Arabidopsis thaliana: one gene and its partners. The protein of the gene in region 1 interacts with the protein of each later gene in a pairwise test. Each region holds a gene or a part of one and is shown in the gene's direction. Other genes may lie near its edges. The genes, in order: AT5G56220, NIA1, AT5G19960 and AT2G19650.

Evidence for each region.
Region 2: the proteins of AT5G56220 (region 1) and NIA1 interact in a two-hybrid assay, tested with the Arabidopsis thaliana proteins (one large-scale study listed by BioGRID).
Region 3: the proteins of AT5G56220 (region 1) and AT5G19960 interact in a two-hybrid assay, tested with the Arabidopsis thaliana proteins (one large-scale study listed by BioGRID).
Region 4: the proteins of AT5G56220 (region 1) and AT2G19650 interact in a two-hybrid assay, tested with the Arabidopsis thaliana proteins (one large-scale study listed by BioGRID).

What each region holds. Positions count from the first base shown.
Region 1 is NC_003076.8:22,752,255-22,758,605, forward strand, and holds AT5G56220 (P-loop containing nucleoside triphosphate hydrolases superfamily protein), read left to right. Parts: upstream 1-1,718; 5' UTR 1,719-2,062; exon of another isoform or gene 2,063-2,236; 5' UTR 2,237-2,616; coding exon 2,617-5,538; 3' UTR 5,539-5,803; downstream 5,804-6,351. Other genes in the region: WIP2 (WPP domain interacting protein 2), read right to left, coding at 1-109.
Region 2 is NC_003070.9:29,235,190-29,241,253, reverse strand, and holds NIA1 (nitrate reductase 1), read left to right. Parts: upstream 1-1,769; 5' UTR 1,770-1,886; coding exon 1,887-2,940; intron 2,941-3,018; coding exon 3,019-3,159; intron 3,160-3,251; coding exon 3,252-3,484; intron 3,485-3,923; coding exon 3,924-5,249; 3' UTR 5,250-5,533; downstream 5,534-6,064. UniProt on the Arabidopsis thaliana protein: Nitrate reductase is a key enzyme involved in the first step of nitrate assimilation in plants, fungi and bacteria.
Region 3 is NC_003076.8:6,742,181-6,746,910, forward strand, and holds AT5G19960 (RNA-binding (RRM/RBD/RNP motifs) family protein), read left to right. Parts: upstream 1-1,697; 5' UTR 1,698-1,848; coding exon 1,849-1,959; intron 1,960-2,200; coding exon 2,201-2,299; intron 2,300-2,336; exon of another isoform or gene 2,337-2,391; coding exon 2,392-2,804; intron 2,805-3,151; coding exon 3,152-3,212; intron 3,213-3,282; coding exon 3,283-3,336; intron 3,337-3,434; coding exon 3,435-3,503; intron 3,504-3,578; coding exon 3,579-3,644; intron 3,645-3,725; coding exon 3,726-3,794; intron 3,795-3,881; coding exon 3,882-3,953; 3' UTR 3,954-4,201; downstream 4,202-4,730. Other genes in the region: AT5G19950 (tudor domain protein (DUF1767)), read right to left, coding at 490-703, 905-1,072, 1,241-1,522.
Region 4 is NC_003071.7:8,492,928-8,497,432, reverse strand, and holds AT2G19650 (Cysteine/Histidine-rich C1 domain family protein), read left to right. Parts: upstream 1-1,540; 5' UTR 1,541-1,729; coding exon 1,730-3,778; 3' UTR 3,779-3,964; downstream 3,965-4,505. Other genes in the region: AT2G19660 (Cysteine/Histidine-rich C1 domain family protein), read left to right, coding at 1-713.

The sequences.
Region 1 (6,351 bases):
TAAGAGGAGAAGTCTCAACCGGTGAATTCAACTCTTTATCAAGATCACCAATCAAACCATTATTATCTTCAACAGATTCAAGAACAGAGCTTTCACTCTCCAAATCCATGACGACGCCACAAAAATACTAACTTTTCACATGGGATCAATCTCAAGACTAAACAACCACCATTCCAGTAAGAACCAGAGGCAAATTCAATAAAACCAAAATACGAAAACAAAAATGAAGCAATAGGGTTCTCTAAATTCAACTCAATTCCCAGATTAATCACATTTACGAAAGCCAATGAATCGAAAGTTTCGAGCTTGACGTACCTAATAAAATGGAACGCAAAACCACTCAAAGGTGAATCCTTTACGAAGAGACCGAAACGAAATTAGAAGACGATTTAAACGATTCGCAGAGATCTCTCTCTATATCCGTTGATTGTGGAAAGTTTCGTTGCGAAAAATCGTTTTTTTTTTCCCGGTTACGATCAAAAAACATTTTGATTCGTTTCCTTTTTTTTGTAATAGAGAAATACGAACGTGTGAGCGACATGGTCGGGACACGTGGCGAAACCGCTGGATACTTCAGCAACTACTCGGATATTTTATGACCGTTCGATTCGACGTGATCTTATCTGGTCGGATCTGGAATTCAACGGTGTGTGATATACCGTTAGGACTTTAATATGATCTCGACTATTTTACTAATTTACCCTCGTCTTTCTAACTTCTTCAGTTTTGACGTTTACATCTTTTCTATATACAGTGGTTGCCGTTTTTAGGTATGGAAACAACGAGACTTATCCTTGAGCGTTTGATAAACGCTTCCACATCGTTTGATAACGAGACTTTTCTACATACAGTATCAATCTTGTTTTGTTCATACGTCACACACTCCAAGATTTTGATGGTAAATTTTTTGTTTTTGTGTGTGTGTGTGTGTAATGTGTATGTTTTTAAAGTCCCTTATGATTGTAGATAAATGTGAAAATGTGTGGGGTAAATAAATAAAAAGTCACAAGTGGACTGGTCTTGGACCAATTCCCACTGTGAAATCAGATTTCAAATGTTGTGTCAGTGTACACATACATACATGCACCACCTTGAATTAAAAAAAAAAGATAATTACTCGATTATGAGGAGTTTATCTTACAAATTACAATATACTAAAATGTTATTGATAAGAAAAATTGTCAAATACTACTAGGTTACTACTTATGTTATGTTAGTACTATTGTTAGAAATTTAGTTCATAATCACATAGTGGAAGGAATTTCACTTACTTAGAACCCAAAATATGTTTTACGTAAAATATTCTCTTGACATTTTTCTCCTATTAATTGCAGCAATGATAGTATTATATGATTCAATACTCAATATAGTACAATGTTTGGAGTTTTCTATAGACCACAAAATACAAACAGTAAATGACAAACAACCAAAGTACTAAGAAAATTGAAAATGGTTCCCTTTCTTCAATCCTACAACCTCTTTTAAGCTCAAAGTTCAATGTCTTAAATCTGACTCTTGTCTATTTAACTCTCTTAAATCCAATGTAACCCATGTTATATTTATACTTCTCTAATAACTCGATCTTAAATAAAAACTGGAGTCTTCTTGGTAAACTAAAGAAGAAAAAAAAACTCATTAAAAATTTCCAGAAAATGCAGAGGAGGTTGAGAGAAGAGAGAGAGGAGAGCTAAAAACAAATGACATAAAGGAGAATCCAAGATTATAAATTTAAGTTAATTATAAAATGGTTTTTGATTAAGTGGGTGATCATTATAAAATGACATTGGTACATGTTTAGACATTAACCATCTCCAGGCTGCTTCTCTCTTAACCATTTCTTTAATCACTATTTTAAAAACAAATTAATGTCCATAAGCACTTTCAGATCCAACTCACAACTCCAGATTCTTCTCCCTCTTCATTATCACAATCTTCTGCTCTTCCTCAAAAAGAAACACAGAGAGAAAGATAGACGAGAGAGACAGGCTTGGTAATGAAAAGATATGCAGGGGAAGTGACACGTCTTTTTTTGCCTTGTGTCTGAAAAAGATCAAACAAAAGGGTAAGTCTTTAAGAAATCATCTTTAAAGATTTGACTAATATGTTGCTTTTTCATTGTTGGTCCTAGCTAGAGAGTAAAAAGATTCAATCTTGTTAATGATGATGAACATTAGACCACAAACTCAATGTAAAGCAATGATTTTTCTTCTGACCCGTGACCTCTCCATTGTTGCAGAGACTCTCTGAAACTGGCTTGGTGTTGTTGGTCAAATCTGAAGTAAGAGGAGGAGGAGAAATTAAATAAAGAAAAGAAGAAAACACAAATTGGGTTTCAACAGTGTTGTAGAAGAGGGACCCCACAAAATGGAAGAGTTAGATACATCACATGCAGTTTCTCAGATTTTACCTCAATCTCATTGAACTGCATCAACTGTTGCATTCATGTTCTGACTCATCTCCTCTCAGTCCCACTCACTTCAATATCATCTGTCAGAGAAACACCATTATGAGATTCATTACCAAGTTAGAGAGATAAAGACATAACCTTTTGAAGCTGAGAGGTGAGAGCTTTCATTTGAGTTTAATTTGTGTTTGGTGAAAGAAGTAAAAGGAGTAATGAAGGGAATAGAAGAAGAAGCAAGTTTAGTTGGTTTAACCATAAGAACTTCATCACCAGCAAGCTCTTCAAGTAAGAAAGGTAAAGAAGATCTTCTTCAAGCAAATAATAATGCTTCAGATTCATCTCCAAGTATCAAAAACTCTCCTTTCTATTCACCTTCTCTTGTGTCCCCACCATCTTCTGCTTTTGTTTCCGCTTTGCAATCTCCTTATATATCCCCAAGAGCTACAACACCCTCCATTACCACTCACAAGCCATCACCGCCTCTTTCTTACAAAGGCTCACAATCTGATGATGTACCAAGCAGCTCCTACACTCCTCCTTCTGACCAGTACGAGTTTTCTGATGAACAACCATCAGATCGGAAGCTCAAGTTATCAGCATCTTGTACTCCAGATCCTGCTCCTCCAAGGATCTCTTTCTCTTTCCCTGTTCCTAGGGTTTCTTTGGCTAAAGTCTCTGTTTCTTCACCTGCAACTAACACCAAGCTCAGGAGCTCTGATGTCTTCATAGGGTTTCATGGACAAAACCCAAACTTGGTGAGATTCTGCAAATGGTTAAAGTCAGAGCTTGAGCTTCAGGGAATCGCTTGTTTCGTTGCTGACAGAGCTAAGTATTCGGACACACAGAGTCATGAGATCGCCGACAGAGTTATCTGTTCTGTTACTTATGGGATTGTGGTTGTCTCTTGTTCCAGCTTGCTCAACTACCTTAGCTTGGAGGAAGTTAGGTTCTTTGCTCAAAAGAAGAACTTGATTCCTATTTTCTATGGAACTGGTCCTTCTGAGATTATGGGTCTTCTCAACTGCAATGCCATAGATAAAGAGTGTAAAGAAGCCATTGATGGGTTGATTAAGTCTCATGAGTTTAAACTAGAAGCTAATGAGAGTAACTGGAGAAGCTGTGTGGGAAAGACTGCGACGATTCTCAGGGCAAAGCTTGGGAGGAAGAGTGTGGCTGATAAAGAGATTGTGGAAGGGATTGATGAGCTTCCATTTCCGAGGAACAGATCTTTTCTTGGAAGAGAAAAGGAGATCATTGAAATGGAGATGGCTTTATTTGGTAATGGAGAGTATCTTGAGTCTACAACACCAAGTACCAGAGGAGAAGCAAGTGGACAATCTGAAGGACTTGCAGATGAGGAATCAGATGTTGTACCAACTCGAAATGGGAAGTTTATTAGCTTGGAGCTTGGAAGATGCTCAGATTCAAGAAGTGAGGCTTGGAGTGATCCAAATGGTGGGAAAAACTCTCTTAAAAGATTGTTGAAGACTAAGAAGTGTAGAAACAATAGTAACTGCAAAAGTAGCACAAGTGTTGTTTGTGTAAATGGAGTTCCAGGGATTGGGAAGACAGAGTTAGCTCTTGAATTCGCTTACAGGTATTCTCAGAGGTATAAGATGGTTTTGTGGGTCGGAGGGGAAGCTCGATACTTTAGACAGAACCTGTTAAATCTGTCATTCAGCTTGGGGCTTGATGTTAGTGCAGATGCTGAGAAGGATAGAGGTAGACTAAGGAGCTTTGATGAACAAGAGTTTGAAGCTTTCAAGAGAATAAAGCGTGAGTTATTCAGAGACATGCCTTATCTGTTGATCATTGATAATCTTGAGATAGAGAAGGATTGGTGGGAAGGGAAAGATCTAAATGATTTGATTCCGAGGAACACCGGAGGAACACATGTTTTGATCACTACTAGACTTCCTAAAGTCATGACCTTTGACACTGTGCAGCTTTCTATATTGCCTTCGTCTGATGCAATGGTGTTACTGAGAGGAAGAAGAAAGAAAGATTACCCGGTGGAGGAGGTGGAGGTCCTCAAGCTTTTCGATGAGAAATTGGGAAGGTTGAGCTATGGTCTTTGGGTGGTTGGATCATTGCTTTCAGAGCTTGCAATTCTGCCTTCTGCTCTCTTTGAAGCTGTAAACAAAGTTCAAATCGAAGAACGTTCGGCCTCGCCTTTTCTGAACTTAAATGATGAGCAATACTGCAAGTCCAATCCATTTGTTGCAAAGGTTTTAGCTTTCAGTTTGGCTGTTTTGGAGCAAGCTGAGGGAAACAGAAACCTTCTCTCATTGAAAATGCTACTCGTGGGAGCTTGGTTTGCTCCTGTCCCTATACCGGTTAACTTATTAGCTGCAGCTGCTAAGAACATGCCCACAGGTGGAAACCGGTTCAGCAAATGGAACAAGTGTCTGAGTCACACATTTGCTTGGTGTGGTGGTTGTGGTTTAGGACGCAGAAGCGAAGAGGATGCTGCTTTTTTACTAGTCAGATTAGGACTAGCGAGGTTAACAAATAGACAACCTGGATGTTGGATTCAGTTCCATCCGATAACTCAAACTTTCGCGAGGAGACGAGACTACATCCTTGCACCAAAGGCAACAGTTCAAGGCGTGAGGAAAATCGATAACCCGTTGTTGAATCTTGATCACCTATGGGCTTCAGCTTTCTTAGTATTCGGATTCAAATCAGAACCTCCTTTGGTTCAACTACAAGCCATGGATATGGTACTTTACATCAAGAGAACAGCTCTTCCTTTAGCAATCACAGCTTTCACAACCTTCTCAAGGTGCAACTCCGCGCTGGAGCTCCTAAAAGTATGCACCAACGTGTTAGAGGAAGTGGAGAAATCATTTGTGTCTCAGATACAAGATTGGCGCCAAGGCTCGCTCTGTTGGAAGAAGAAGACTAACAAGAAAGTCGATGAATACGTGTGGCAGGATGTTACATTGTTGAAAGCTTTATTGCTGGAGACCAGAGCAAAGCTGCTGCTACGAGGCGGACATTTCGATAGTGGAGAGGAACTTTGCAGGACTTGTATCAGTATCAGGACAGTGATGCTTGGCCATAACCATGATCTCACTTTGGCTGCTCAAGAAACACTAGCAAAGTTAGTCAGAATGAGAAGCAAGATATGATGAAACCACACACAAAAACATTTCTCCTGGTTATTATTTCCACATTACTACTCTAAGCTCAGTTTTGTTGAAGACATCAAATCATGTAATGGCTATTTTTAACCTTTTTTAGAACAAATCTTATTCCTATGTACATTACCAACATCCTTATTGATCATTGTCTCTTTGTAAACGCATTGAATTCTCAAGCCAAAAAGCTCTAACCGATAAGTTAACCAATCAAACAAAAGAGATAACACAATCTCAGTAACAAACAGAATTGAAAAAGGACAAATACTCGTGTAAGAAGCTGGGACCAAAGACAAACACAGAAAAATAGGTATGGGCTTAAGTAAACATGCAATTTAATCAGTGTCTGGGTTTTGCCAACAAGTGTCACTCTCCCCTCTTCTGTTACTGGTCCCCGGAGTTCACTGCTCAGTTTTGTTTCCTTTTCAAAGGACTAAAAATTCTGACTTGTCATACAAATTGAGCTTAGGTTTTATCTGGTTTTGGTTAAACACAAAGTTAGTCAGAATCCAACAAAGCAAAAGCAGATTATTAAGGTATTGAATTGACAATCAAGAGAATATATGATCTCTTGAAGCTTTCAGATTTAGTATCTAATAACTAACAGTCAAACACTAAAAGCTGTGACTTTAAGATCAACAAGTTGGTCTCAAGCTTCACGACAAAACTGTCAAAGCTGTTGTGAGATATGTTTGCTTGAAGCAAGACTTGATACATTGTATCTGAAATCAGATGTAACATGTGAAGAAGAATGGATAGAGCAAGTTGATTCCTTCACTGTGAGACCAAATCAAACAAAAACTT
Region 2 (6,064 bases), on another chromosome or scaffold:
TGTATTTGCTTGGCCGTTGGTGTTCCCATGCGCCACTTAGCCTCCAAAGTCTTCTCTCTAAACTCCTTTTTTATACCATAATCTCTGTTTAGTTTATACTTAATTGCGCTTTATCTTCTTAATCGTCATGTAATCCATAAAAATCTTCGAGATATTTACTTTCTCGACTTAATTAATTAATACAATTTCTCTATATTAAACTAGTCAACAATATGCTCAATATCATATCATACATATATGTTTTAGCCCACAGGATTCTCACTCTCCATTTTCTTATTATTACACTGACGTCTAATTTGACGTTGATTTTAAGAAATTGAAGTCAATATAGACAAAATCTATCTGTGAATATGCTGATTAATACCCTTTTATGTAATATGTATGTACACGTGATGTACTTTTAATCTTGAGTCATACATCTATGATATTTTGCATTCATTAACATACAATTTCCCAAAACTATGAGCAAGTTTACGTGTTACTTTTGTCTTTAATCATCATTCAATATTATCGAAAAGTTCGTTGCCATATCATATATTTGTGGAATAAAACTAGGTAATATTGTTCTTGTTTTACATTAACTAATGCATTTTTTTTTGGGGGGCACACATTAACTTATGCATATTCCAAATAAATAAACTATTTTGTCGCCGTGACACATTGATAAAAAAAACATTCTAGTGCTTCGATTGAAAATTCAAGTTTCTCCAAAATTTACTCTCCGCTGCATCCGCACTTTACAATTGTAAAAGAGAATACCCAGTATTTTGCATAGACAAATCTATTTTTTTTTTTTTTGATGGGTATTTTTTATATCTATGTCGTAAGTACGTTACGTTAGCTAGCTAGAACATTCCCTAGCAAGAACTAGTAGTGAGTGAGGAAGAGAAAAAAGAACTCAGCATTGCTTATACAAGAGTCCATGTTTGTGGATCCAAGGGAAGGTTTATCTCAGCTTTTTTTCCTCAAGAGAAAGGTGTATCTTGCCCGTGGTTACTCGATTGTTGTTCGTATTCAATTTATTAAATTTTATAGCTTCAAGGGAAGGCATGTGTTTCTTCTTTTTTAAGTGCAATATTTTTGTTTATTACATAAAGTACTTCCTGGAAGTTTCGTATAGACTCCAATAGGGTTTCTCTGACTTTTCCAATTTCAGTGTCGGAGTACATTAACTCTAAAGAAATAAACATGCATGAACATGCTTTTTCATATTCTACATATATTTTGCAGTCTATAATTGGTTTTTCCACTGTGGTTTACGCTAAAATAAATAATATGTTCTTGTTAAATGGCCACAAACAATTCCGACACCATAAATGTGAAACTTTTAACAAAACTATATTATCAATAACTAGCTAAATTATGATCAAGACCAGTAAACATTTCAACACTTAACGTAAAGAAATGAATTGGCTATTGACGATATAATTTTTTTCCATAGAAAACTATGCATATGTTTGTCACAATTTTTTTCTTTCTTTGTATTAAAGTTAAGTGTTGAGTGAGAGAGGTATCATAATCATAGTACCCTCCCACGATATTGCCCACGGATCGAATCCTTAGACCCGCATTTTATTTTTAACTTCATATCGCATTAGTATTTAAAAGCAAATATATATATCCTATGAAATAAAAATCTCCCGCCTTAAAGGCCAAACCTTAGGATCTAGGTAGGTGGGTCCCTCTACTCAGCGACCACACAAACTCACATTTGTCAATTTCTCCTCTCTCTTAATTTATTAATTATTTTATTTACTCATCTCTGTAACGCCCCCTATAAATACAACCTCTCATTTACTCATTCAGAAACCAAAAAATTTCACAAACCAAACCAAAACCAAAAAAATAGCTTATCTCTCTCTTATCACCGGTTCAATCACTAAACCATGGCGACCTCCGTCGATAACCGCCATTATCCCACCATGAACGGCGTCGCTCACGCCTTCAAACCTCCTCTCGTTCCTTCTCCTCGCTCATTCGACCGCCACCGTCACCAAAACCAAACTCTCGACGTCATCCTCACCGAAACTAAAATCGTCAAAGAAACCGAAGTCATCACCACCGTCGTAGACAGTTACGACGACTCCTCAAGCGACGACGAAGACGAGAGCCATAACCGTAACGTCCCTTACTACAAAGAGCTGGTTAAAAAATCAAACAGCGATTTAGAACCGTCGATTTTAGATCCGAGAGATGAATCAACGGCTGATAGTTGGATTCAACGTAACTCATCCATGCTCCGTCTCACCGGAAAACATCCATTCAACGCCGAAGCACCTCTTCCTCGTCTTATGCACCATGGATTCATCACTCCAGTTCCACTCCATTACGTCCGCAACCACGGTGCAGTTCCCAAAGCGAATTGGTCAGACTGGTCAATCGAAATTACCGGACTCGTTAAACGTCCGGCTAAATTCACCATGGAAGAGCTAATCTCCGAGTTCCCCAGCCGCGAATTCCCGGTGACACTCGTCTGCGCCGGTAATCGCCGCAAGGAACAGAACATGGTGAAACAAACGATCGGATTCAATTGGGGATCCGCCGGAGTATCTACTTCTCTATGGAAAGGTATTCCGTTAAGCGAAATCCTCCGTCGATGCGGGATCTATAGCCGGAGAGGAGGCGCGTTAAACGTTTGCTTCGAAGGAGCGGAGGATCTTCCCGGCGGCGGCGGATCTAAATACGGAACAAGTATTAAGAAGGAGATGGCGATGGATCCGGCTAGAGATATTATCTTAGCTTATATGCAAAACGGCGAGCTTTTAACGCCGGATCATGGGTTTCCGGTTCGGGTCATTGTACCGGGTTTCATCGGTGGTCGGATGGTTAAATGGTTAAAGAGAATCATCGTCACGCCTCAAGAATCTGACAGTTACTATCACTATAAAGACAATCGAGTCCTTCCTTCTCTCGTTGATGCTGAGCTGGCAAATTCCGAAGGTAAACTATTAACTTACCCTTGTCTTCTTTTACATTTTAGTTACCGATGCTAATATTATTTACTTGTTTTTGTTACAGCTTGGTGGTATAAGCCTGAATACATAATCAACGAGCTTAATATAAACTCGGTGATTACAACACCTGGTCACGCAGAGATTTTACCGATTAATGCATTCACTACTCAGAAGCCGTACACATTAAAAGGCTACGCTTATTCTGGTAATTTATTTTAACTTTGCTTTAGTTAAAAGTTAAAAGGATTCTTTACTATGTAATTAAAATCCTGATCGGTGTATTGATGAAATAAACAGGAGGAGGTAAGAAGGTAACGAGGGTTGAGGTGACTCTAGACGGAGGAGACACGTGGAGTGTTTGTGAGCTTGACCACCAGGAGAAACCGAACAAGTACGGTAAATTCTGGTGCTGGTGTTTCTGGTCACTTGACGTTGAGGTTCTTGATCTGCTCAGTGCTAAAGACGTCGCGGTTCGAGCCTGGGACGAGTCTTTCAATACTCAGCCTGATAAACTCATCTGGAACCTCATGGTAATAATCCTCTCTCTTGATATTTTTAAATTATAGAATTAATTAGTTTACTTTATTCTTTACTATATGATTTAAATAGTTTAATCTTGTTTTTGAGTAAACTATTCGATTTTGATATTTGTATTCGTCCTACAAAGTTGGAACTACTGATGATATTTTCTTTTGAACGTGATACCTACCAATACTAATCTTACGGAATCTTTTAATAGAGCACTAATCAACATGGAACTAAAGACCAATTCTTTAAGTGTCTCTGTTGTACAGTTCATTTTAGTAGTGCGTTTAAGTATTATAATCTCCCTTCATGCGGGGCAATTATGTAGATTAAAATCGAAATTATATAAAATTTACATAAGTCTAAGTCTAGGGTCTCCAGCTAATTGTTATTTTTTTAACGATGTTGACTAAAGCAATAACGACGTTGACTTGTGTTAAACAGGGGATGATGAACAATTGCTGGTTCAGGATTAGGACCAACGTGTGCAAGCCTCATAGAGGAGAGATAGGGATAGTTTTCGAACACCCGACCAGACCCGGAAACCAGTCGGGTGGGTGGATGGCAAAGGAGCGTCAGCTTGAGATTTCCTCAGAATCCAACAATACCTTGAAGAAATCTGTCTCATCTCCTTTCATGAACACTGCCTCGAAGATGTATTCAATCTCTGAAGTTAGAAAACACAACACTGCTGACTCTGCATGGATCATCGTCCACGGTCACATCTATGACTGTACACGTTTCTTGAAAGATCATCCAGGAGGCACAGATTCTATCCTGATAAACGCAGGTACAGATTGCACCGAAGAGTTTGAAGCCATTCACTCTGACAAAGCCAAGAAGCTTTTGGAAGATTACCGTATCGGTGAACTCATCACCACTGGCTACGACTCTTCCCCTAACGTCTCAGTTCATGGTGCCTCAAACTTTGGTCCTTTGTTAGCTCCAATCAAAGAGCTAACTCCTCAAAAGAACATTGCTTTGGTCAACCCACGTGAGAAAATCCCGGTTAGGCTCATTGAGAAGACTTCGATCTCGCACGACGTTCGTAAGTTCCGATTCGCATTACCATCAGAAGATCAACAGCTTGGTTTACCCGTGGGGAAGCACGTTTTCGTTTGCGCCAACATAAACGACAAACTCTGTCTCAGAGCTTATACTCCCACCAGCGCCATCGACGCGGTTGGTCATATCGACCTCGTCGTCAAAGTTTACTTCAAAGACGTTCATCCAAGGTTTCCCAATGGTGGACTCATGTCTCAACACTTAGACTCGTTACCAATCGGGTCAATGATAGATATCAAAGGTCCACTAGGGCACATCGAGTACAAAGGCAAAGGCAACTTCCTGGTCAGCGGCAAACCTAAGTTTGCCAAGAAACTAGCAATGCTCGCCGGAGGAACAGGCATCACTCCTATCTACCAGATCATTCAATCTATATTGAGTGATCCAGAGGACGAAACCGAGATGTATGTGGTTTACGCAAACAGAACCGAGGATGACATTCTTGTGAGGGAAGAGCTAGAAGGATGGGCTAGTAAGCATAAGGAGAGGCTAAAGATTTGGTACGTCGTTGAAATCGCAAAGGAAGGTTGGAGTTACAGTACCGGGTTTATAACTGAAGCTGTGCTTAGGGAACATATCCCTGAAGGTTTGGAAGGCGAATCGCTAGCACTCGCATGCGGACCACCGCCTATGATTCAGTTTGCGTTGCAGCCAAATCTAGAGAAGATGGGTTACAACGTGAAGGAGGATCTCTTAATCTTCTAGATTTGCTCAAGTTCTGTGCTATTGGAAATTCGAAAGTTGATAACAAGTATCGCTTATGTGTGTATATACATGGTTATTTGGGCACTTTTGTTATAGTTGTTGTTTATCAGAGCTCCAAATTGTATATTGTATAAAATTGTGTTTAATTATGATCTATGTTGTTGATGATGATGATGATAAATGATGAACTTATTGTAACTCAAACTTCTTGTGTCTTGATATTATCGTTTTTTTTTTGTTATTGCATGTCAGGACTCATGTCACAACATCTTCTATTTGAGTTATTATGCTTCCATAATGTGTCGTGTCATCTATTACTGGTCGTCTAATAAGTTAGTTATAGTTCACATCAAGTGTTATTCATTTAATCACGCCTGGTAAACGTTTTGTCGTATAAGACTAATAGTTTTAAGTTAGTTACCACTTGTGGTCGTGTTGCTTTCAATCGTCAGTGACAACAAAAAAAGACAAACATGCATGAAAATAAACGTTTAATGCAAAGATACGCATATCATTATGTCAAAGGGAGACGAATGATGCTACAGTATGCGTTCGATACAAAAAATGGAAAAAGATCTAAAATGGATTTTCGTTTCGGCCCCACAAGATTCGTGGTTCATACGCATTTTACAAGTAATAATATTATGGAGAATGGTGATATGTAAAAAACATTGGATCTTTTTTTTTGTCACACAAGACTTTCATAGTGAGTAACGAAAGTTAAAAATGAAGGTATCCATGATTCCATATTTAATTATTAATTATAAAGAGAATTCAAGATCCACAGTGAATAAATAATAAGAACGGATTCGGTG
Region 3 (4,730 bases), about 16 Mb from region 1:
CAACAAACATATGCTGACAAGTTAAATTTTTGATGCATTGGCCAAACTTCCATCACAATACTTTATGTAAGCCCACACAAAGGAAGAACAATTCAATAGATCATAAATTTTACCACAATGAAAATGCATTCACTCAAGTTTAAGTATTGAAACAATGGAGACCCAACAGCGCCAATGTTGGACACAAAGCCAAGGGAAAACATAGATCAGACCTCTACATGAGTCGTCATAGGTTACATAAACGGATATATTGGGATTTTGGAGCTCGGGTCAAATTACTAATATGTTTATGCTAAAGTGCATTTGGATGGAATAAGTCCTTGCTGCAGTCAATGCATATTTATGTACACTATCAACATGAAATAGAAAATGGTAGATATTTTATTTGGTAGCAAAGATTGGCCAACCGTTTCAAAGTGAACTAAATATGCAACAAATTACTAGAAGAAAACTGAATGAAAATGATGAGAATAAGAAAATCCTGCTTACCGCGGTGATGGGAACCTGTTCGAATCTTCAACTCCTCAAATGGAGGAGGGCCATCACCAGCTTTGCTTTCCTGAGATCGAGCCAAACTAGCGTATTTTTTCTTCATCTGCCATTCTTCAGTGAGTGATTGCACATAACCGCCCAAGACAGTCACCTCTTTTGGAGTCAAACATACTAGACCATCACGTATCACAGCCTTATTTTCTAGACGTACCTGCCAACGAGACAGTACAAAATATCAACAATACAAAATGATTTATGATTTGCATATGACACCCTCTGATGCATGACAAACACATATGTGCACTAGCTTTCTATTGATTTAGATCTTAATCCAAACTATTATATTTGCATGAGACTTTCAGAAACATAGTAAAGGAGAATTTGAATTAGATTGATATGGAAATGGAACTACCTTAGTACCAGGAGTGACATCATTGTTAATCGTTGGTATATGAGAGTACTCAAGCGCGGATATTTCGGTCTTCCCGTCAGTCAGAGCGAATTTTAGCACTCGTTTACCAGTGGAACTTCCCACAAATTCCTCTGCGCTACTTCTTGTAACATCCCTAACATAACTTATCTATGCTCACAAAAGAAAACAAATTAACACTCAACAGCTTGAATCAACTGCAACAATTGAGCATTCTGAAACTAGTTTAAATCTAAGTATATCAGTGAGAGTGACTCATTGAATTAGCGAAGACCTAATGCCAATTGTTACTGACTTTAGCTGATTGAAGCAATGTACCTGGAGAACTTTGGGGCCTTGAAGATGAGAACACCTGCGTAACTCGGTCGGGTCCGGGAGGGATTTACCTCCGATTAACTTAATATCCATGTTAAGCAGCTCCGCCTCCACTGACTCCACGATGGCGCCTGTTTTATTGCCGCCGCCGATCAAGGAAGAGATTTCAGTGACCAGGGATTTCAAGTATTCGACGTCTCTGAAGCACCAGCCCCGACTAGTTAGGGCATTTATCACGACGGTGTGGGTGTGGTCGCCGGCGGAGGAGCTTGATGTTCCCACCATTGCGTTGATGCTCTTGTCGCGCTAAACCAATTGGGGAAGACGAGATTTTAATTTGGAGAATTGATTTTGTTATGGTCAATATCGAGTTAAACTAATTACTATTCACTAATGATACTTTTTGCATAAAATCGTTTTGATCAATAAAGAAGAACATTTTTAACAGAAAAACTAGAAAAGTAATTCGAAAAAGTCCTATAAAAAAGGTATTTTCCGGTTTCGTTTTAGTGGGCCTAATGGCCCATATGTAACACGAAGATTTCTGACAGTACGACTTCTAAAGTACTTTGCTTTCCTTGTTGAATTCCGACCAAAGTCGATAAAGAGTTATGACGATGGACGATGGTAACTCCGTCTACGTCGGCGGCCTCCCTTACGACATCACCGAGGAGGCTGTCCGTCGCGTCTTCTCCATTTACGGCTCCGTCCTCACCGTTAAGGTTAATTTTCTCTTTTCAATATCCTGATTTAAGTTTCTTAATTAGGATGATTCAAATTCGTTTCGTGATTTTGAAGTTCCAATCTTATTGTATGATCTTATAGATGATAAGCTTTAGTAGATATCTATGTAGAAAGACTGACCAAGTGATTTAGATAACATCCAATTGCTAGTTGATATATCTTACATGTGAGCTGGTCAGAGTGTATATTGACATATATGTGTACTATTTGAGAATTCAGATTGTCAATGACCGGAGTGTAAGAGGGAAATGCTATGGCTTTGTTACATTTTCGAACCGTCGATCGGCTGATGATGCTATCGAAGATATGGATGGAAAAGTATGGTTCTACTGCTAAAGTTTTGTTCTTTTGTTTATATTATCATGTACGTGGTGTGTTTATATTGTTGACGGTATTGAGCTCGTAATCAGAGTATTGGTGGGCGTGCAGTGCGTGTGAATGATGTGACAACAAGAGGTGGAAGAATGAATCCAGGTCCGGGGCGGTTACAACCACACGGTGGTTGGGATAGAAGTCCTGATAGGAGAAGTGATGGTAATTATGAGAGGGATCGGTATAGTGATAGGTCTCGAGAACGGGATAGGTCTCAGGATAGGAGAAAAGATCATCGCTACATAGAGAAGGAAAGAGCTTATGAGCATTCACATGATTTTGAGAGGAGGAATGATCATGATATGGTAGATAGAAATGGTTATAAGGAAAGAGTTTTCGATGGTGATGAAGGAGATTGGCGTGGGGATAGGTCTTATGTGGATAATGGTAGGGGAATAAATGGGACCAGTGCTCACGAAGGAAGGAGCCAAGAAACAAAGAGAGAAGATAGGTAAACTTTTGTTGAAAACAATGCAGTTGTAGACTTCACATTGGATTTCAAACTTTTAGTGTTCCTCCTGTTTCTTTGAATTGTGACATTCGTTGTTCTTGTAAAATTGGTCTGCTAGTTTGAATGAGTCAAAGACTGGGATGCTAGTCTTAGTCACGCCGCTAAACCAAATCATCCACACCTGTTGTGGTTAAGTTTGATAAATTATCATCGATTTTAGTGTAATGGATTTGAGGAAGTTTCTTGCTCTTGTTGGCTTTGTGCATGTTACCGTTTGAGGAATGTTTTGGCTTGCTTTGGTTTTGTTAACATGTCTAAATCTTTGTGTGTTCTTGTTGGATTGACAGTACCATTCTTGATGGTGGACGTGGCAGAGATCACTTCTCTAATTCAAGTGGAGATCATCAGGTAAAGATGATTTTCTTAGCCATGCAGTGTTTGCATAAATTCATTTTATAACTTGCAACTTCTATTACAGGTGAAAGAAGATCTGGAAGCGCTGATTAAGATGCGTGAGGCGCTTCGAGATGAGGTATGAGGTAGTTTATCTGTGCATATAGGCTGTTGGTAGATTTATTTTACATAATCACGAGTGATCCAATGAATTTATGGGCTACTTTCATTTTTAAGGTGATGGTGATGGAAGAGAGACTGGAAGTAAAAGAAGTAGTGTGCTCAGAGCTACAGAAGAAATCTAAGGTATGTGTCTTCTATATCTTACAACCCCAAAATGTTTGACTACAGATTTGTTCTCATTTGAAATGGTTAAGACAGAGATTAGAAGATTTGTTGATCAATGAAAAGAAACTGGTTTCACAACGCCGAAAAGAATTGGCAAAGGTAAGCATAGGTTCGATTCCTGTTCTAAAAGTCGGTTTTGTTAGGTAATGTTTGTTGACATTTGGTCTATGTTTGTGGTAGCTACATAAATCATATTCAAGGGTTAGAGAGTGCACGGACAACCTGAAAGACTGTGAACAAGAACTCCAGGTTAGTTTCTAAATTTTCTTATTCTAGTGATTGTCATTGCATAAAGATTAGGCCTAATCGAAACAAGTGTCTATTCTTTTCTCGCAGTTGCTTGTTAATTCAGCAGCTAGAGAAGGCGTGGCAGGTGCTGATGAAGGATTGGGACACGGGTATCCGTAACACGGTCACCCGCATGTATGATCTGTTTTGTCTAAAGTGTAGCTTTGATATGTCTTCTCTTTGTGACTTTCCGAGTTTTTTTCTAGTCGAGCTACACTAATTTGGTACATATTTACTTGTTTTGGCAAGTATGTATTCATTTCATTCGGGATGTATTATTATCATACGAACATGAACTAAATAATTATGTTTTCAACTTGCAACTGAAACCAAACAATCACCATACAAAGTGTGGAAGTAAAGTCTCAAAGCTTTGTTAGAGAAGAAGTCCTAGATAGTACTTGGCTATAGTTAAAATATTTTAGTAGATGAAGTTGACAAATTAACTATTTCTTTTTGTAATGTTTGCTTTGTTCTTTACTAATATAAAGATACTTGGCTACAGTGAAAATGTTATAAAAAGAGAGAAAAGAATAGACAGTTAAATTATTAAGGTTGACACAACCATCATCTCCACCGTCCATTACTCGTCAGCCGAATGTTTTTTATTTGATTAAGATGTGAACATCATCCATTGACCTATCGTTGCTTGTAAAGCCAAGTTAGCCAACCAACACTCAAATCATCATTATACGTGACGATCTTAAGAACAACCCCATTTAGGATACTCTATATGTTTGTCTTCTCATATAAATTTCATTATAGTAATATTAAGGCATTATCCATTATTCATATATATTCTTCAAGGCATGTTTCGTACATCTTATAGCAAACCAGTAGCAGTAAATAGCATAAGCAAATGTGTTCTTCTTGTCGCATGGCTCTAGTGGAATTCCA
Region 4 (4,505 bases), on another chromosome or scaffold:
AACGGCATGTTTGCGACAACCTACCATTTACCCTAGTCACAAATGATACTTCAGACGAAACTTCATGTGATCTTTGTTGGCAAAGTTTCACCGGTTTCAGGTACGAGTGTCTTACTCGTATGGTTACTCTAGATGTACGATGTGGTTCAATTCGAGAACCATTGGTGCACCAAAGCCATCAACATCCCTTATACTTTTCGAAACGTAGTTCTAAGTCTTGTACGGAATGTGGCAAAAACATGGATCTAGATATAGGAAGCTTTAGCTGTGATGAGTGTGACTATAGTTTGGACTTCAAGTGTGCTCTTTTACCGCAGAAAGTAAAGTGGCATAGATACGACGATCATCCTCTTTACTTGTCGTGTGGTGAAAGTAGTGTGGATGGAGAATACTGGTGTGAAGCATGTGAAACAAAAGTGAATTCGAAGAAATGGTTCTATACATGCAATGATTGTGGTGTCATATTGCATATTTCATGCGTTGTGGGAGACTTCTCATATTATATGCCAGGTTCCAAAATAGGATGGGAGGAAGACTTGGTGGTATCCAACACCTCTATGTGTAGACCATTTTGCTATGTGTGTAACTCTCAATGCAAGCTTCCTTCCATTGTTAAGGTCGTTTCCAAAGCCGATGTTGTTTTATACATTTGTTCTTTAAACTGTTATTATAATTTCAACCGCTCTAATAACTACTCTAGTAGTGATTGGTAAGGCATGTTTTAATGAAGAAAAACTTTGTACCATTTAATTCCAAAAGTATGTTTTACAATAGTTTTTTTTTAACCTCAAGCTTATGCGCTTTTTCCACAATTATCAATCTTTTGAATCCAGTCAGCAGCAGTCTCAATGATCTTAGAAACAGAATTTCTTAACAGGATATTTAAAAGAACAAGTTTCTTGACATTAGAGCTGGAACTGGAATCTGGTCTCTGTTTTGTGCTAAAGCAAGAGCAGCTCATGTATACGCAGTATGTCTTTTTAACTTCTTTATTAATCAAAATTTGCTCTGAGTGATTTGAATACATGTGATTTGACAAATGATTCTTCGAATGTTTCAGATGGTATATATATGTTAACTTTATAGTGTTATTCAAATGGGTTATACAATCTGATGGTGGAAATAGAACTTACTTTTGGCTGTATAAAAATTAAAAAACAAAGATTGGCCCAATCCTGGTCTTAAAGACAAAAATACAAATCTTTTGGTCTGAAATTACATAAAAGTTAGTGGATGCAATACAATAATAAAACTTTGGTTTCAGAGACTTGAATGCAGCAAAGTCTACCTCCAAAGCTACTTGGCCAAGGAGTTGTGTGGTTCAGACTTCAAACTGTTTTTTCCACAAAATGTACAGTTCCATCCATTTAAATTCTAAACTATTCTATCCATAAACTTCTATTCCATTTAATGCAAGAAAAAACCTTTTTTGTATTCATTCAATTATTTATGTTTTGGCCGGACACAATAGTTGCAGAGTCAACATATGTGGTCTGAGTTAATTAAATAATGCAAGGATGAAGCCAACACATGTGGTCTCAATCTCAGTAATGAAAAGAATCATTTCTGTGGTGCGAATTCATATTAACTATTTGCAAAGTCTGAAAATGATAAACCACTTGAAAAAAAATCCTGAAAGAAAAGAAAGAGAGAAAAACAAGAAACCAAGTCTGAAACTAGTGCAGAAGAGAAGAGCTTTGTGTTTTGGTGGAAGTAAGAAAACATCACCATGGAAAACTTTCTAGCTTTGTTTAATGAAGGCATGGACGAAGAAGCATCCCGCCTTGAAAAATTGTTACCATTTCATGAGCATCCGTTGATACCTTTTACACGCTTCGAGTTCACCAAGTGTAAAGGATGCTACTCGACCGATGAAGATAATACAAGCTTCATTTCCAAACATCCCGGTTGCAGTTACATTTACGGAGGACACCGATGCAATGAGCCGGGATGTGATGTTGTGTTCCATGAAGAGTGCGCCAAGCCGTTACCAGAAATCGACCACCCTTACCATCCAGTCCATCCTCTCAAGCTGATCCTCCTACATACCAGAGTTTCTAATTGTAGTTTCTGTGGAGAATTTTTCAGTGTCGGTTATCGCTGTAACAAATGTGATTTCCAGTTGGATTTGATTTGCGCGAGGAGACCAGCCCTACTTGTTCTTGCTGAAAACTCCTACCTACACGAGCATCCACTCCAACTCTCCCATGAAGCGCACGAAACACTCAGAGATTGCAAAGGGTGTGGCCATCAACATAATAGCTGGAAACATTTCTACACATGTCATCAATGCGAGTTTTTCATCAGTCTGGATTGTATCGATCATAATAGTCCAGAAGCATACCACACTTCTCACCCCCAACACCCACTCAAGTCACTTAGATATGAAGTCCCTGGTTACGCCGACAAGAAATGTCTTCTTTGCCGCGAGGAGTTTGATGGAATCCATCGCCAGCTTCACCACTGTGGTGTTTGTAATTTTAGCATATGCAGATCATGTATGAAAAACCCACCACCGGTTCTTGTTAAAAGCCCGAGGACCCATGAACATCAACTTCACCTTGTTCCAAGACGCATTGACTTCACTTGCAATGCTTGTGGGACGCTAGGTGACCGTAGCCCTTATTTCTGTCTTCAGTGCAATTTCATGATTCATCGGGAATGTATCGATCTACCTCGCGTCATAAACATCAACCGCCACGACCACCGCATCTCTTACACCCCTCGCCTCGGACATGGAGACGGGAAATGCAGAGTTTGTCGTAAAAATGTGGATGGGTTCTACGGGGCTTATTCTTGCTCCAAATGTTTTGATTATTTTGTTCATTCAAGATGCGCAACCAGAAGGGATGTATGGGACATGATCGAACTGGAAGGGACACCCGAAGAAGAGGAAACTGCGCCATTCAAGGTGATTGATGACAACACGATAGACCATTACGGCCATAAGCATAACTTACGAATTTACCGTGGCTGGAATCTACCAGAAAGTGTAGTTTGTACCGCATGTGTCTTCCAGATTTGTTCAGAACCGTTCTACGCTTGCGCGAGAAAGAGATGCGATTTCATAATCCACGAAAAATGTGCCAAGCTTCCTTTAAAGAAACGTCATGTGTGCCACAACCAGCCACTCGAACTATCCCCAAATTATGGCACCTACTTGTTACATAGGTGTAGTATTTGCCGTCAACTGTTCACCGGTTTCTCCTATGAATCTAAGGAATTAAGGATAGATGTACGGTGCGCTACAGTTACAGAACCATTTGAGCACAAAAGCCATCAACATCCTTTACACTACTCTACAGATCACTCCAAACGTTGTAGTGAGTGTGATGGAGACGGGAAATTGAGTTGCGATGATTGTGAATTTGGTTTGTGCTTCAAGTGTGCTATTTTACCGCAAAAGGTAATGAGGCATAGGTACGACGATCATCCTCTCTTCTTATCTTATGGCGAAATGGGCGTGGCTGGCAAATATTGGTGTGAAGCATGCGAAACAACTGTGAACCCAGAAAAATGGTTCTATACATGCAATGAGTGTGGGATCACATTGCATATTTCCTGCGTTATAGATACTTACGCATATTCCATGCCAGGAGCGTTAACATGGATAGGAACATTTGTATCCAACCACTCTATTTGTAGACCACTTTGCTGCGTGTGCAACTCTCGATGCAAGCTCCCTTTCGTTCGTACGCTTCCCGAGGACGGAGCTGATCTATACTTTTGTTCTTTAGAATGTGAGAAGAAAATTTATCAGGAACGTTTCGAATTTTAAAATTATGTTCTTTACTATGTTTAGAAAACTATTTATTTATAGATGATAATGTTTGCTAGCTTGAATGACTCGCAAATTTGGTAGAATTTGTGAGGAATCTGGGTCTGTTAAATTATTACAAGTCCCTACAATAACATTTGGTTGTGTACTTGTGTTAGTGTAATATATATATATCTCATTGAACCCTAGGGTGCATTAGTGTTTGCCAAATAAAAACCAGAAAAAATATCAACTTATTTATGGATGTAAGATTGGAAAAGGTTGGATCAATCTTGCCAGTCAATCCACTAAATGTTTAAGTTCCTACAAGTCGAAATGTCAATGACAAAAACAGAGACGTGGAAGTGAGAACAGAGCAGAGCAAAACAGAACATAGCAGAGTAAGTCAGTCAGAGCAGGTTGTGTTGTAGAATCACATTAGTTCTCTGATAGAGAAGCCAAAAAACTCAGTTTGTGTTGTTGAACTTGGAACAGAATGAGAACAAGTTAATCACTAAAAAATGTTTGTGTCACCGTCATGTTGCGACCTTAAAACAGAGCCCCCTAATAATTTTTTGTTACACTGGTTCTATTGAATCTATTTTATGGAAAAACTATTACACAATTTGGTTTACCAATACATTGATCCCTATCAAGGAAGCTATGGTTTCAGGCACTGAGCACACTGAAGAGTAATAGAGATTAACAATGCAAACATCATCAAGCCATGTAATTCTGCAGTTTTCAA